Linked DNA regions of Anolis sagrei. The protein of the gene in region 2 purifies or fractionates together with the protein of the main gene of each other region. This does not show direct contact. Links are inferred from orthologs where the notes say so. Each region holds a gene or a part of one and is shown on either strand. Other genes may lie near its edges.

The links. The genes of interacting proteins can lie anywhere in the genome.
Region 1: the proteins of SF3B1 (region 2) and SRSF1 fractionate together in Homo sapiens (co-fractionation; 3 studies listed by BioGRID and IntAct, with this or other methods). This does not show direct contact. The link is inferred for Anolis sagrei from reciprocal best matches to the Homo sapiens genes SF3B1 and SRSF1.

What each region holds. Positions count from the first base shown.
Region 1 is NC_090031.1:19,484,935-19,492,664, forward strand, and holds the start of SRSF1 (serine/arginine-rich splicing factor 1), read left to right. Parts: upstream 1-4,714; 5' UTR 4,715-5,214; coding exon 5,215-5,408; intron 5,409-7,730. UniProt on the Homo sapiens protein: Plays a role in preventing exon skipping, ensuring the accuracy of splicing and regulating alternative splicing.
Region 2 is NC_090021.1:178,747,740-178,754,806, forward strand, and holds the start of SF3B1 (splicing factor 3B subunit 1), read left to right. Parts: upstream 1-4,044; 5' UTR 4,045-4,129; coding exon 4,130-4,157; intron 4,158-7,067. UniProt on the Homo sapiens protein: Component of the 17S U2 SnRNP complex of the spliceosome, a large ribonucleoprotein complex that removes introns from transcribed pre-mRNAs.

The sequences.
Region 1 (7,730 bases), on a different chromosome or scaffold from region 2:
AGATTTTATTGCGATTCAGCTGAAAAGGATGCAAAGCAGCAAGATTTCGCCAAGCTAAGCATACATGAGTACAAATAAAAGCCATTTTTATAGCCATTTTTATAGAGACTTGTCCAGTTTGAATCTCCCGCTCCCCGCCCTCCGCCCGGCTTGAAGGTGATTGGCCAGCACTTCAACAGCTGGGAGGAGGCTCAGTCACCTCTCGAGCGCCTGGGCCAATCACAAGGTTTCTGCTGTGCACCTGGGCCAATCAGAGGGCTTCCGCCGCCTTGGCGCTTCAATGAATCAGGAGGGAGGGAGACAGGACAAGGGAATACAATGCATTTTTGAGTGGATTATGAAAATTCAGGAAATGTCCAAGGGGCTGGCGAGTCTTAAAGGCCTACAAGCTAGCCAGACTATTGTTCTGAATGGCTGCAATAAACATTGATATATGGCAATACCGCCATAATCCGGATTTTCTTCTATGTCAAGACAGAGGAACAATAGTGGAAACTTAGGTGGATGTTTTAGTGAGAGAGATTGAATAGGTGGCAGATCAGGAAGAGATGCAGCTTTCCGAAGGCTCCCCTCTGTCCCATTGTGATATAATCAATACTTGCCAAGTGGCCGTTTCCTCTGGTGGCCAAAACCTCCGAGGCCAGAGGTCACGAGCCTTTGTTATTGTCCATGCAAAGGGTTCTTTCAGCTGGTAATTCCTTTCCTTTCCAGGGGCAGAGCGGCTTCCCTACATTTTAATACATTTTTTTCCAAAAGGGGAATGGGGCAAAAGGGTCAGGAAAAGGTCAGACACACAGGGAGAAAATATGAAAATATAGAAATTATGTTATAGTAAATATACCCACTTAAAAGTTAAAGTTTGTATGCGGCGGAAGTGTGGCGGTGCGACAGGGTATGTGCCAGCGTTCTGATTGGCTGCCACTGTGGTGCTATTTGCATATGGTTTTTTGATTGGCCAGATTCAAGAGGAGCCCCTGGTGGAGAAAAGGGTTCATGACAGAAACGGAGACATGAGAGAAGGAAATTTGCATATTGTCTCTGATTGGCCAGCCTCAATTCCAAGATTCCGAGATGACAAAGAGAGGAAAGGAAAAGGCCAGGGGCTGGGTCAGAAAATTACCAATACAGACCAAACTTGGCACACAAAGCCCCCATGACCCACTCTACATCCTACTGCAGTTTGGAGGAGGATGAACCATGGATGATGGGACTTGCAGTACCATCACTCACATTCTGAGACCGCTGTTAACCTCATCCAATGACTGATCAGGACCAAACTTGGCACATAGACCTCTCATGACCCATTTTACGTCCTGGTGTGGTTTGGCCGGGGATAGACCATGGATTATTGGACTTGCAGTACCTTTGCTCAATTTTTGAGACCACTGCAACCCTCATCCAATTACCGATAAAGACCAGACTTGGCACACTGAGTCTCCATGATGCACTCTACGTCCTGGTGCAGTTTGGAGAAGAATGCACCATGGATGATGGGACTTGCAATACCTGCACTCCCTTCCTAAGACCATTACAACTGCCTACAATGATGGATCGGGACCACAATTCACACAGAGAGCCCGCATGACCCACTCTACATCCTGGTGTGGTTTGGAAGAATTTGGCAATGGATGATGGGACTTGCAGTCACTTCACTCACTTTCTGAGACCACTGAGACCCTCGCCAATGGCTGATCAAGACCAAACTTGGCACACAGAGTCCCCATGACCCACTCTACATACTGGTGCACTTTTGAGGAGGACAGACCATGGATGATGATGGGATTTCAAGTACCTCCACTCCCCAAGACTGCTGCAAAACTCATCTAATGACCAATCAAGACCAAACTTAGCACACAGAGCCCCCATGACCCACTCTACATCCTGCTGCAGTTTGAAGGAGGATGGTTTTTGGATGATGGGACTTGCAGTACCTTCACTCACTTACTGAAACCACAGCCACCCTCATCCAATGACTGATCAAGATCAAACTTGGCACACAGAGTCCCCATGACCCACTCTACATCCTGGTGCACTTTCGAGGACAGACCATGGATGATGGGACTTCAATTACCTCCACTCCCTTCCCAAGACTGCTGCAACCGTCATCTAATGTCTGATCAAGACCGAACTTGGCACACAGAGCTGCCATGACCCACTCCACTGTTTGGAGGAGGATGGACGATGGATGATGGGACTTCCAGTACCTTCACTCACTTCCTGAAACCACAGCAACACTTATCCAAATACCAAGAAAGAACTTGGCAAACTTTGGCCAACTGAACATTCTGATGAGGTTTGGGGGAGAACAGACTTTGGAGGAGGATGTGACTTGCAGTACCTAAACTCATTAACCATTTCTTAAGATTGGCTCTGCATCTCGTGGTGCCAGAGCGCAGTCTGTTCAGCGCCTTCCAAGTCGCCCAGTCTTCTGTGTGCCCAGGGGGGAGTCTCTCACCTGGTATCCCCCACAGAATGAGGTGCTGGGTTTGAGCCTGCCACTTTTGAACTCTTGCTTGCTGAGGTGTACCAGCGAGTATCTCTGTAGATCTAAGAAAACTATTTTTTGATTTGAGTCGTTGACGTGCTGGCTGATACCCAAACAAGGGATGAGCTGGAGATGTCTCTGCCTTGGTCCTTTCACAATCCAATGATTGATCAAGAACAAAACTTGGCACACAGAGCCCCCACGACCCACTCTCCATTCTGGTGCAATTTGGAGGAGGATGGACCACAGATGATGGGATTCGCAGTACCTTCACTAACTTCCTAAGATCACTGCGAGCCATATAAATAACTGATAAAGACCAACCTTGAGACACAATTCCTTTCTCAAATAACACCAAGCTAGTTTTTAATAAATCCGTGTTGACTATTAGCAATGACTGCATTTGTTTCTAAGTGTTTGCAGACCTATTCCTTAACATTTTTTTCCAGAATCTTGCCTGGTATCGACGTGATCTTCCTTTTCCCTCCTTCTTCCCTTTCTGTTTTCCCCTTTCCTCCATCCCCAAAGGGATCCAGGCAAAGAACGCCTTTGGGGGAAAAGAGAATAGAAAGCGGTGCAGTTTTCGGCCATGGCCACACGATGGCAGCAAAGGGCCGTGGCGGGTGAATGAAGAGGGGGCTGCACTTCCCGATGTGTCCACTGGGCGGCCAAGGCAAAGGGATCACCCTGGAGCCCCAAAGGAAACCCAGAGGCGCTCGCTCACAGGCCTGTAGCGAGGGGGGGGGGGGGGGTTGGGGGTTCAACCCCCCCCTGAAATGTTTCAGATTTTTTTTAAAAAAACCTGGTTTACTCATGAATTTTAACTGGTTAACCAAATCCCCCTGCTAAGTCTATGAGATGCAAAAAATTCAGAGTCCCTCCAGAACTGCAAGCACTATCTCAGGTAAATATTGACAATTTATTCACACTGTCATTACTTGCAGCAATAGCCGATGTAGCGAAGCATCCAAGTTGGGGGGGGGGGAGGTTGTTGAATGCTCTCATTAAGGAGGCCAGACTTGGTGGAGGTGGTTGACAGGGGCGGAGCTGCAGGCTATGGAAGACTGCTCTGCCCCCTGCTGTGCTCTTTGCGGGGATTGTGGCGCAGCTGGCTGAGTGTCAGCTGCATTAAGATCACTCTGACCAAAAGGTCATGAGTTCGAAGCCAGCCCGGGTTGGAGTGGGTTTCCAACCAATTGTGTGTAGCCTGTTGTCGACCTTTGCAACCCGAAAGACAGTTGCATCTGTCAAGTAGGAAAATTAGGTACCACCTTAAAGTGTGGGGAGGCTAAATAAAGAAGACTCTGGCAAAGCATTCCAGCGGGGAAGATAAAGGTAAAGGTAGTCCCCTGACATTAAGCCCAGTCATGTCTGACTCTGGAGTGTGGTGCTCATCTCCATTTCTAAGCCGAAGAGCCAGCGTTGTCCGTAGACACTCCAAGGTCATGTGGCCAGCATGACCGCCGTTACCTTCCCGCCGGAGCGGTACCTATTGATCTACTCACATTTCCATGTTTTCGAACTGCTAGGTTGGCAGAAGCTAGGGCTGACAGCGGAAGCTCACGCCGCTCCCCGGAATTGAACCTGCGACCTTTCGATCAACAAGCTCAGCAGCTCAGTGCTTTAACCGACTGAGCCACCGGGGGCTCCTCCAGCGGGGAAGTGTGCGGGGAATGTGGAAGTGCTTCCTCAGCGTCGCAGATGGACGATGAAAGCGACATCTCCCCTGGCGGCCAGAAAAAGTTAAATAGCCTCTGTGTATGTCTGTATATGTTTGTATGTCAAAATTGACATTGAATGTTTGCCATATATGTGTACACTGTAATCCGCCCTGAGTCCCCTGCGGGGTGAGAAAGGCGGAATATAAAAGCTGTAAATGAATAAATAACATAAATAGAAGGCAGGTTTCAACCCCTCCCCCCCCCCCCCAAATTTCAACCCCTCCCGAAAAATTTTTCTGGCTACGGCCCTGCTCGCTCGTCTTTCTCTTTTTAAACTACATTTAAATCTCCTTGTCTGCTCTCTCTTTCAAAAAATACGGGGCCATGTTTGAATTTTCCTTTCAGGGAGTCTCTCTGGTAGGATTTTTCCGTCAGGCACCACAATAGCCGACTAAGCGTGCTTCGCTGTGCATTGTGGGCCTCGTGCTTGGCTTTGGCGCGAAGGCGCTCTGGCGCGCGTTGCATGGTGGGAAGGCGGCGCTTCTCCCCTTGAGCCGGATCTTCTTCCAAGCCGAACAAGGGGGAAAATAGAGGAGAATCGCTGCGCGCGTCTTTCCTAGGCCTCGGCCTCGAGTGGCGAGTAATCGAAAGGGGAGCGTAAGGAAAACGTTTGCAAGCGGAGGGACTTCTTTTTTCTCTTGCGCATGCGCAATTGGAAAGGCGGAGGCATCTGAGGAGAAAGCGTGAGAGAGTGACGTCACGGCGCGCGCGCGCGAGACTGAGAGGATCCTTGCGCGAGGCAGGTAGAGCCGCCATTTTGTGTCGCTCTGAGGGAAGGCGCGTCCGAGGCGGATCCCTCCCAGTCGACTGGGCCCGGCGCCTGCCTGCATCCCTCCTTCGCTTTCTCAGGCCCCGTTCTTGCTTCCCCTCTCTCCCTCTTTCTTTCCTTTCTTTCTTTCCCTCGCTCGCTCCCTCCCTTCCTCTCCCCGCTGCGGGGCCCTTCTCGCCGGCCTTCCCTTTCTCCACGAGCCTCGGCCCCCGCCAACCGCAGCCATTGCCGACCTCGCCATGTCAGGCGGCGGCGTGATCCGCGGCCCGGCCGGGAACAACGACTGCCGCATCTACGTGGGCAACCTGCCGCCGGACATCCGCACCAAGGACATCGAGGACGTCTTCTACAAGTACGGCGCCATCCGGGACATCGACCTCAAGAACCGCCGCGGGGGGCCGCCCTTCGCCTTCGTCGAGTTCGAGGACCCCAGGTGAGGAGCCCCCGCCCCCCCCCCCATTATGTCAAGTCTGGACTGCACAATTCAACCCCTACCAACAGATGGCCACCCAACTTCAGAATCAGAGTTGGAAGAGGCCCTCAAAGGCCATCCTGCCCAGCCCTTCATGGCAAAGGATAGTATAATTCAAGCCCTATCAGCAGATGGCTGTCCATTCTTCGATTCAGAGACTCCCACAGTGGAAAGGGGCCCCCAAAGGCCATCCAGTCCAGCCCTTTATGTCAAGGGACAGTGCAATCCAAGTCCTGCCAACAGAGGGATATCCAGCCTCTAGCTAGATCATATACTCCTAGAGCTGGAAGGGACCCTCAAAGGCCATCCTGCCCAGCCCTTCATGGCAAAGGATAGTATAATTCAAGCCCTATCAACAGATGGCTGTCCATTCTTCGATTCAGAGACTCCCACAGTTGAAAGGGGTCCCCAAAGACTATCCAGTCCAGCCCTTATGTCAAGGGACAGTGCAATCCAAGTCCTGCCAACAGAAGGACATTCAGCCTCTAGCTCAGTGGTTCTTGTCATGCGTTAGCATGAATCATAGAATCAAAGAGTTGGAAGAGACCTCATGGGCCATCCAGTCCAACCCCATTCTGCCAACCCCACTCTGCCAAGAAGCAGGAATATTGCATTCAAAGCACCCCTGGCAGATGCCCACCAGCCTCTGTTTTAAAGCCTCCAAAGAAGGAGCCTCCACAACACCAGGGCAGAGAGTTCCACTGCTGAACAGCTCTCACAGTCAGGAAGTTCTTCCTCGTGTTCAGGCGGAATCTCCTTTATTGTACATTGTATTGTTTGAAGCCATTGCTCCATTGCAGCCTAGTCTCCAGGACATCAGAAAACAAGCTCCCTCCCTCCTCTCTGTGACTTCCTCTCACGCATTTATACATGGCTATCATGTCTCCTCTCAGCCTTCTCTTCTTCAGGCTAAACATGCCCAGCTCTTTAAGCCGCTCCTCATAGGGTTTGTTCTCCTGAGTAGCATGCAGACTGACTCTAGCCCAGTTAACTGTGTGTGTGATGAAATTACTCATAAAAGAAAAACACACGAGACTTCGGCTTAAAGTAGAAAAGAAAAATATTGTAGTATTGGCAGCATACAAAAACAAAATAGCAGGATTACTGTTTCCACAAAAGTAACATGAAACAATATCTTCTGAGAGATATCATTACTCAGCTGAGATAAACAGGAATCCTTGTCCTCTTCTCATGGCTGTGTCTTCGCAGGACATCTGCAGCATAGTCCCCGGCTTACACAAAGCAGAACGGCACAGAGGCATAGATGCACAATAGCATAAACGCACAATGGCAAAGAACTAAACACACAGTAGCTATCTTTATACACATGAAAATAACACTCAATTAACTCTTCAATTAACTGAAACAGCTGTAGCACAAACAGCCTTGAACCTTACAGCAACTTAAAGTTATAGCACAAACAACACTGATCCTTACAACAACTTAGATAAAGTACGTTGCAATCTCTTAGTAGCAACAGTTCTCAACCTGGGGGTCAGGACCCCTGGAGGGGTCACAAGGGAGTGTCAGAGGGGTCACGAAGATCACCGGAAAACACAGTATTTTCTGTTGGTCATGGGGGTTTATGTGGGAAGTTTGGCCCAATTCTGTCGTTGGTGGGGTTCAGAATGCTCTTTGATTGTAGGTGAACTACAAATCCCAGCAACTACAACTCCCAAAATGTCAAGGACTATTTTCCCCAAACTCCACCAGTGTTCACATTTGGGCATATGGAGTATTCGTGCCAAGTTTGGTCCAGATCCATCATTGTTTGAGTGCACAGTGCTTTCTAAATGAAGGTGAACTACAACTCCAAAACTCAAAGTCAATGCCCACCAAACCCTTCCAGTATTTTCTGTTGCCCATGGGAGTTCTGTGTGCCAAGTGTGGTTCAATTCCATCATTGGTAGAGTTCAGAATACTCTTTGATTCCAGGTGAACTACAAATCCCAGCAACTACAACTCCCAAATGAGAGAATCAAGTCACCCCTCCCCCAACTCGTATTCAAATTTGGGCGTATTGGGTATTTGTGCCAAATTTGGTCCAGTGAATGAAAAACACATCCTGCATATCAGATATATACATTACGATTGATAACAGTAGCAAAATGACAGTTATGAAGTAGGAAGGAAAATAATTTTACGGTTGGAGGTCACCACAACATGCAGAATTGTATTAAGGGGTCACAGCATGAGAAAGGTCGAGAAGCTAGATCATATACTCCTAGGGTTGGAAGGGACCCTCAAATGCCATTTGGTCCAGCCCTTTATGTCAAGGTCTCC
Region 2 (7,067 bases):
TAAACTGTTTGACTCAAGCCGGAATGCTTCTCAGCCTCAGGCAAATAATCAGACCTCACAACCTCTGAGGATGCCTGCCATAGATGAAGATGAAACGTCAGGAGAGAAGGCTTCTAGAACATGGCCATGTTGTTGTTAGATGTTAGGTGATCCCTCGTTGGCCGAGTAGGATAGTCTTCCAGGATCAGTTTTCTGGTGGATCTGTAAGTGACTATGGAGCCGTACTCTTGATCTGCATCTTCTCCCGCAGAGAGGGCATTGGTTTCCAGGTGGAAGGCGGTGTCGGTCGGGGTTGGCTTGATGCGCCTTCCTCTTAGCATGTTTCTCTCTTTTGCCCTCCATTCGTGCCTCTTCAGATTCTACAGCACTGCTGATCACAGCTGACCTCGAGCTGGAGCACTCAAGGGCCAGGGTTTCCCAGTTCTCAGAGTCTATGCCAGAATTTTTAAGGTTGGCTTTGAGCCCATCTTTAAATCTCTTTTCCTGTCCTCCAACATTTCATTTGATATTCTTGAGTTTGGAGTAGAGCAACTGCTTTGAGAGACAATGGTCGGGCATCCAGACAACATGGCCGGTCCAGTGGAGCTGATGGCAGAGGACCATCACTTCAATGCTGGTGGTCTTTGCTTCTTCCAGCACGCTGACATTTGTCCGCCTGTCTTCCCAAGAAATTTGCAGGATTTTCTGGAGGCAGCGCTGAACATGGCCATACAGCCCGAAAAGCCTACAACAACCCAATATAACAAAAGATAACAATAGCTCTCAACTACCCAACTGCAGCCTCCCCAATAGGCATCTTTGCTAAATAGCCAAGACTACAGAGATCAGCTTCCATTGTTCTCACAATCCCATCATCCCCACCCTGGACCCCTGCTGGCATGGAATGCTAGCACTTCCTACAGACTCCTCTCTGTCCATACTACTTTCCCTATCTGGCTGGGAGGGGATTTCCAGCCACATCAACAGAGCTCGGCCAACCAGAAACAGAAGAGGGATGGTTCAAACTGGAATAATGAACATTGTGTATAAAAACTGTTGTGCAGAGCACATGCTCTCTTATGCTTGTAATTTTTTGGAGCAGGAGTTTACAAGCATCATCTTGGCCAAGATTAAATAAATGCCTCTGTCCTATGTCTTAGCTTCACTTTTGTTATTATGGTTGTCACAACTCACCAGGCCTTTCCCTCTCATTTTACTCCAGTCTAAATTCCATATCTGTCCATTCTCAACAAGTTGTGATAATTTCATTCAAATGCATTTTAAAAAAACCCAGAAACAAACTAGGTTTTTATTCGAAACTGGCTTCTTCATATTTCCATGAAGAAAATATTCCCTGGGTGGTAAGAAAAAAACACATACAAAAATATGACAGAATACTGAAGCACCCTTCAAACTGTAACAAAAAAAGGGGGTTAAGACTGCTGTCTTTGTGGCACTTTTCCATCTCAAAACTGTCCCAGGTTATGGCATGAGCCCTATTAGTCTGTGTATTTAACCAAATAAATTAACAAACTCCAATCCCCTGACAGTGGGTTAAACAGAGCCAGCATCACACTGCATCCCAGTAACTTCTTCCATCTTCCTAGGGTTATCCACTCATCTTGTATTTATGCAACACCTCTCTCCTATATCTGTCTCTCAATGACACGGACAAACTTCGTCCCTCCAGGTGTTTTGGACTTCAACTTCCACAACTCCTAACAGCTGGAGAGCTAAAGTTTGTCCATGCTTGCTCAATGACCATCTACTGCTAATACATAACTTGCCACTTATCATCACCATACCCACCACCTTTGCATTTCTATGGCAAGTCACATACACAGAGTCTGAGGAAGCAGATGGACTGTTTTCCCACTGCATAATTATAGTCGTCTGACAGCTAGGCCCAGTGCTTGGGATTTAGGAGTTTTAAGTTTGTTTCCCAGGGAGGCTAGAATGGAAGCAAGCTAAACACTTTATATTCAAGTAGGTATGAGCCGGGGGTGTTGTGTGGCGTTTAATAGGTATTTGATAGGTATTTTGAACAGTTTTTAATTTTTTTTAAAAAAAAATAGATTTAACCACAGTCAGTCCTCGAGCTGCAAACATGCAACTTACAAATGACTCCTAGTTAAGAACAGGGGTGAGCCAACAAGAAGTGAGAGAAATCTTTCCCTTGGAAGGGAAATTAACTTCTGAAAGAGTCATCATGTGAAAAAAGGTGTCTCCAGTGATGCTTTATCAGCAATCTTATTTCCAGAAGTCAATTTTTTTTCAAAATCCAATTATCATAGGGACAGAAAGTGAGGTGAAATCCTCTGAACGGGGCCACTGACAGCAAAACAAACACCATGGCGGTGTAAACCCTTTCCTATGCTATCCAAAGCTAAATAATTTATAGAGAGAGAGGGGAGGGGGGGGGGGAGAGAGCTGGAGTTACACTTTTAAAATGTACCTGTTCCAGCTAACAAACAAATTCAGCTTAAGAACAAACCTACAGAACCTATCTTGGTAACAACTTGGGGACTGCCTGTATATTTCTGTTCTAGTGTTTATATAGTTTAGGTTCTGATTTGTATATTGAATTTTTAGAATGGTTTGCTGCATTGAGTCTCTTTTTAAGAGTAAAGATGGGATCTACATATACTGATAATATAATTCTGCAGTGCAGCTGCTACCATTTTTCTCTCTTATTTAGCCCCAAATATGCCACAAGACCCCTTTTAATTCACATGTAACCAGAATATCAAGGGAGATAATCCACAATAGCCGTTTTGAACTGGGTTATCTGAATCCACACTGTCATATAATCCAGTTCAATGAGGAATTTATACACCTGTGTATTTATTTATCATGTCAGTAGCAACCAGACAATTGGATTACATTTTAAACAAATTTTTAACAAACAGACAAAACAGAGTTTGCAAGCTTGGTAGTTGATTAAATGTCCTTTGACCAGTATCTGGCCACTTGGGAGTGCCTCTGGTGTTGCTACAAGAAGGTCCTCCATTGTGCATGTGGCAGGGCTCAGGTTGCATTGCAGCAGGTGGTCAATGGTTTGCTCTTCTCCACACTCGCATGTTGTGGATTCCACTTTGTAGCCCCATTTCTTAAGGTTGGCTCTGCATCTCGTGGTGCCAGAGCGGTCTGTTCAGCGCCTTCCAAGTCGCCCAGTCTTCTGTGTGCCCAGAGGGGAGTCTCTCATTTGGTATCATTGAGGCTCTGGGTTTGAGCCTGCCAGTTTTGGACTCTCACTTGCTGAGGTGTTCCAGCGAGTGTCTCTGTAGATCTTAGAAAACTATTTCTTGATTTAAGTCGGGGTGATTTGAATGCAATATTCCTGCTTCTTGGCAGGGGATTGGACTGGATGGCCCATGAGGTCTCTTCCAACTCTTTGATTCTATGATTCTACGTGCTGGCTGATACCCAAACAAGGGATGAGCTGGAGATGTCTCTGCCTTGGTCCTTTCACTATTGGCTGCTACTTCCCACCTGCGTAGAAGGAGCCTGATACTCATCTAAAATGGCTACAATTAACTGTGGAGTATAAAATCCACATTAAACTGGGTTATGTGGCAGTGTGGACTCAGGGCCCTTCCACACAGCCTTATATCCCAGAATATCAAGGCAGAGAACCCCACATTGAGTGTGGAGTCTGATAACCCAGTTCAAAGCAGATATTGTGGGTTTTTCTGCCTTGGTATTCTGGGTTATATGGTTGTGTGGGAATACTATAAGAGCTGCAGTTTTACAAGGCCTTTAGCCTTCTCTGCCAAAGCAACCCTTTTAGAGTTACTTCATAGCAGTTGAAAGTAGTGTCAAACTGCATTAATTCTCCAGTATAAAGGCGCCTTATTTCTGTGAACGCGATCCCACAAAATAAGGGGTCTTATGATGGACTCGGAAGGGAAGCCCCGCTTACTCCTGCGCTGTATAAAAGCTGAAGCTGCGGCGTCCCTCTCGGTTTCCCCGCCTTCCCCTTGCCGTTCCAGTGCGCCTGCGCAAAGGGCTCTCGCGCGGCCACTCCTCCCATCTCCCCCTCCCAACTCCCTCCTTCCGCCCCCGAAAGCGGAAGTGGACGTCGAGAGAACAAGCGCGCGCCGCCCCCCCCCCTCCATCTCGCTGGCTGCGCTTCTTCGAGCTCCACAAAATGGCGAAGATCGCCAAGACGCACGAAGGTAAGAGAAAAAGAGGGTGGTTTCCGTTTGCGGCTTAAAACCCCGGCCGCTTAGGCCTCGAAGTCTGAAGGCGCTGTTTTTCCCTCTCGAAGGGCGGCGCTCCTTGGCTCCAGGAAGCTGAAGGGAAAGGGCGCCTGAGCGGGCCAGGCCTTCGCGTAATGGCGTCGTCGCTGAGGTGTCTCAAGGCCTCGCCGCTCCTTCCCCCTCCGCTCCAACTATTTCGCGTGAACCCGAGTGGCCGGGAGGGCAGCGCAGAGGAGCGGGGTTGAGGAAATCGAGGCCCGCGTGTTCTTCAAGCCAGGCCTCGAGGAAGCAGTCGTGGCCTCTTCCTCCCTTGCGCACGCAAAATTGTGAACATATGGGAAGGGGAACATCCTTTTCTACGTTTTCTTCCTGGGAGGCAGCCTTTGTGCCTCCTTGTGGGTCGTTCTTTAATTTAAAAATAGGCCTGTTAAAATGCAGGTTGGAGGAGGAAGGCTCATCGTAGAATTAACTCCGTTTGACTCCACTTTCAACAGGAGGCCCTTCCACACAGTGCTATATCCCAGAATATCTAGCAGAAAATCCCACATTATCAGAATGTGGACTCAAATAACCCTGATCAAAGTAGATATTGTGGGATTTTCTGCCTTGATATTCTGGGCCATATGGTTGTGTGGAAGGACACTGAGATATCTGGCCCCTTCCACACAGCTGCATAAAATCCACTTTGAACTGGATTATATGGCAATGTAGACTCAATTAACCCAGTTCAAAGCAAATATTGTGGGATTTTCTGCCTTGATATTCTGGGCCATATGGTTGTGTGGAAGGACCCTGAGATATCTGGCCCCTTCCACACAGCTGCATAAAATCCACTTTGAACTGGATTATATGGCAATGTAGACTCAAATAACCCAGTTCAAAGCAAATATTGTGGGATTTTCTGCCTTGATATTCTGGGCCATATGGTTGTTTGGAAGGACCCTAAAATGTCTGCCCCCTTCCACACAGCTGCATAAAATCCACATTGAACTGGATTATATGGCAGTGTAGACTCAATCCAGTTCAAAGCAGATATTGTGGGATTTTCTGCCTTCATATTCTGAGCTATATGGCAATGTGGAAGTGCCCTGAGTCCACACTGCCTCATATTCCAGTTCAAAGCAGATAATGTGGGGGTTTAGGCGTCTGTGTGGAAGAGACTTGCCATGTCTCAATGCACTGGGATCCCAGGAGTTGTAATGTTACAAATCCTCCTGGCAAAGAGTGCTCGTGCCTCGCCAAAACACAACCCCCAGAATTCCATAGCATTTAGCCGCAGCAGTTAAAGTCACGTCAAACAGCTTTCATTCTAGACTGTAGAAGGGCCCACAGTGTTCTGAGGCCCCTTCCACACATGTGCATAATATCCACATTGAATAATAATAATAATAATAATAATAATCTTTATTTATACCCCGCCACCATCTCCCCAAGGGAACTCAGGGTGGATAACATGAGGCCAAGCCCGACAATTATAATAAAGCAAAGAAAATACAAACAGCAAAACTAATAACATCAAATAAAATAAAATGCAAAATAAAATAATACAGTAGGGTAAACACAGGATATGAAATAAAATAAACACAATGGGCTGGGCCAGATGAAAGGGATAGAATTATAAAACCCTGGGTGAGATAGGTAAATAGAGTAGTGTATCTGGTCGGAGATTCAGATGGGACAACGATGGGGTTTAATTCTCACTAGGGGATGTGATAAAGCGCATCAAAAGGACAAATTTGTACTGGGACGGTCATGGTATGGGGATTTGTTATTCATTCTTCAAAATCACGTCGAACAGCCATGTTTTCACATTTAACTGGATTATATGGGAGTGTGGACTCAGATAACACAGTTCGAAGCAGATATTGGAGGTGATTTGTTGTAATGATTGTGTGGAAGGGTCCTGAGCTGTCTCTCTGCAAGCTTTAAGGAGGATTTGCTTGTGGAATCCATGACCTAAATTCAGTTATTAGTCCCAACTGGAAAGTGAGTCACTGCTCCCCAAGCGGCCATCTGTGTTAGGGCCCATCCACACAGCCATATAGCACAGAATATAAAGGCAGATAATCCAGAATGGATTATCTGAGTCCACACTGCCTTATAATCCATTTCAATGTGGATTTTATACAGTTGTTTGGAAGGGGCCATAGGATTATCTGCTTTGATATTCTGGATTATATGAGTCTATACTGCCACATAATTCAGTTCAAAGCAGATAATTTGGATTTTATATAGTAGTGTAGAAGGGGCCTTTATGTAAGCGCCACCAAATCATTGAGTCAATTCCGATTTTGGCCCATGATTTTTCCATTGATACAAATGAGGAAATGACTAATCCATTTATATAGATGGGGAAATAATTACTCCATTTAGGTTGCTGTGAGTTTTTCAGGCTGTATGGTCATGTTCCAGTACCATTCTCTCAATTTTTCCTGCTTCTATGGCAGAGATCCTCAGAGGTATTGATATAAATGGGGAAATAACTACTCCCATAAGGAACATGCTACCCCTCCAATTTCATGTAATTGTTTGCATTCATATTGTAATTATTGTCTGTCAAGAAGTGCCTATCCATTTCAATATCTATGTGTTCACAAAATATGAGTAAGTTTGGGTTTGTTTTTCAGTTTAGACACTGTGTTTTGAGCAGTATGTTTTGAACTCAGAACACATTGAGAATTCATCTGTTGATGAGCATTAAACAACAAATGTAATTCGAGAATTACAGTAAAAATTAGCAATTTTTTTCCTGTGGCTGACTGATTAGTATGAGTTTGAATGAGCAGTATAGTACACAAATATTCAAGATTGAATATTCTTGTTAAAATAAAGCATTGGATTCTACCTTTCATGCAGGAAGAATATTATATGCTATGCAGGAAATTA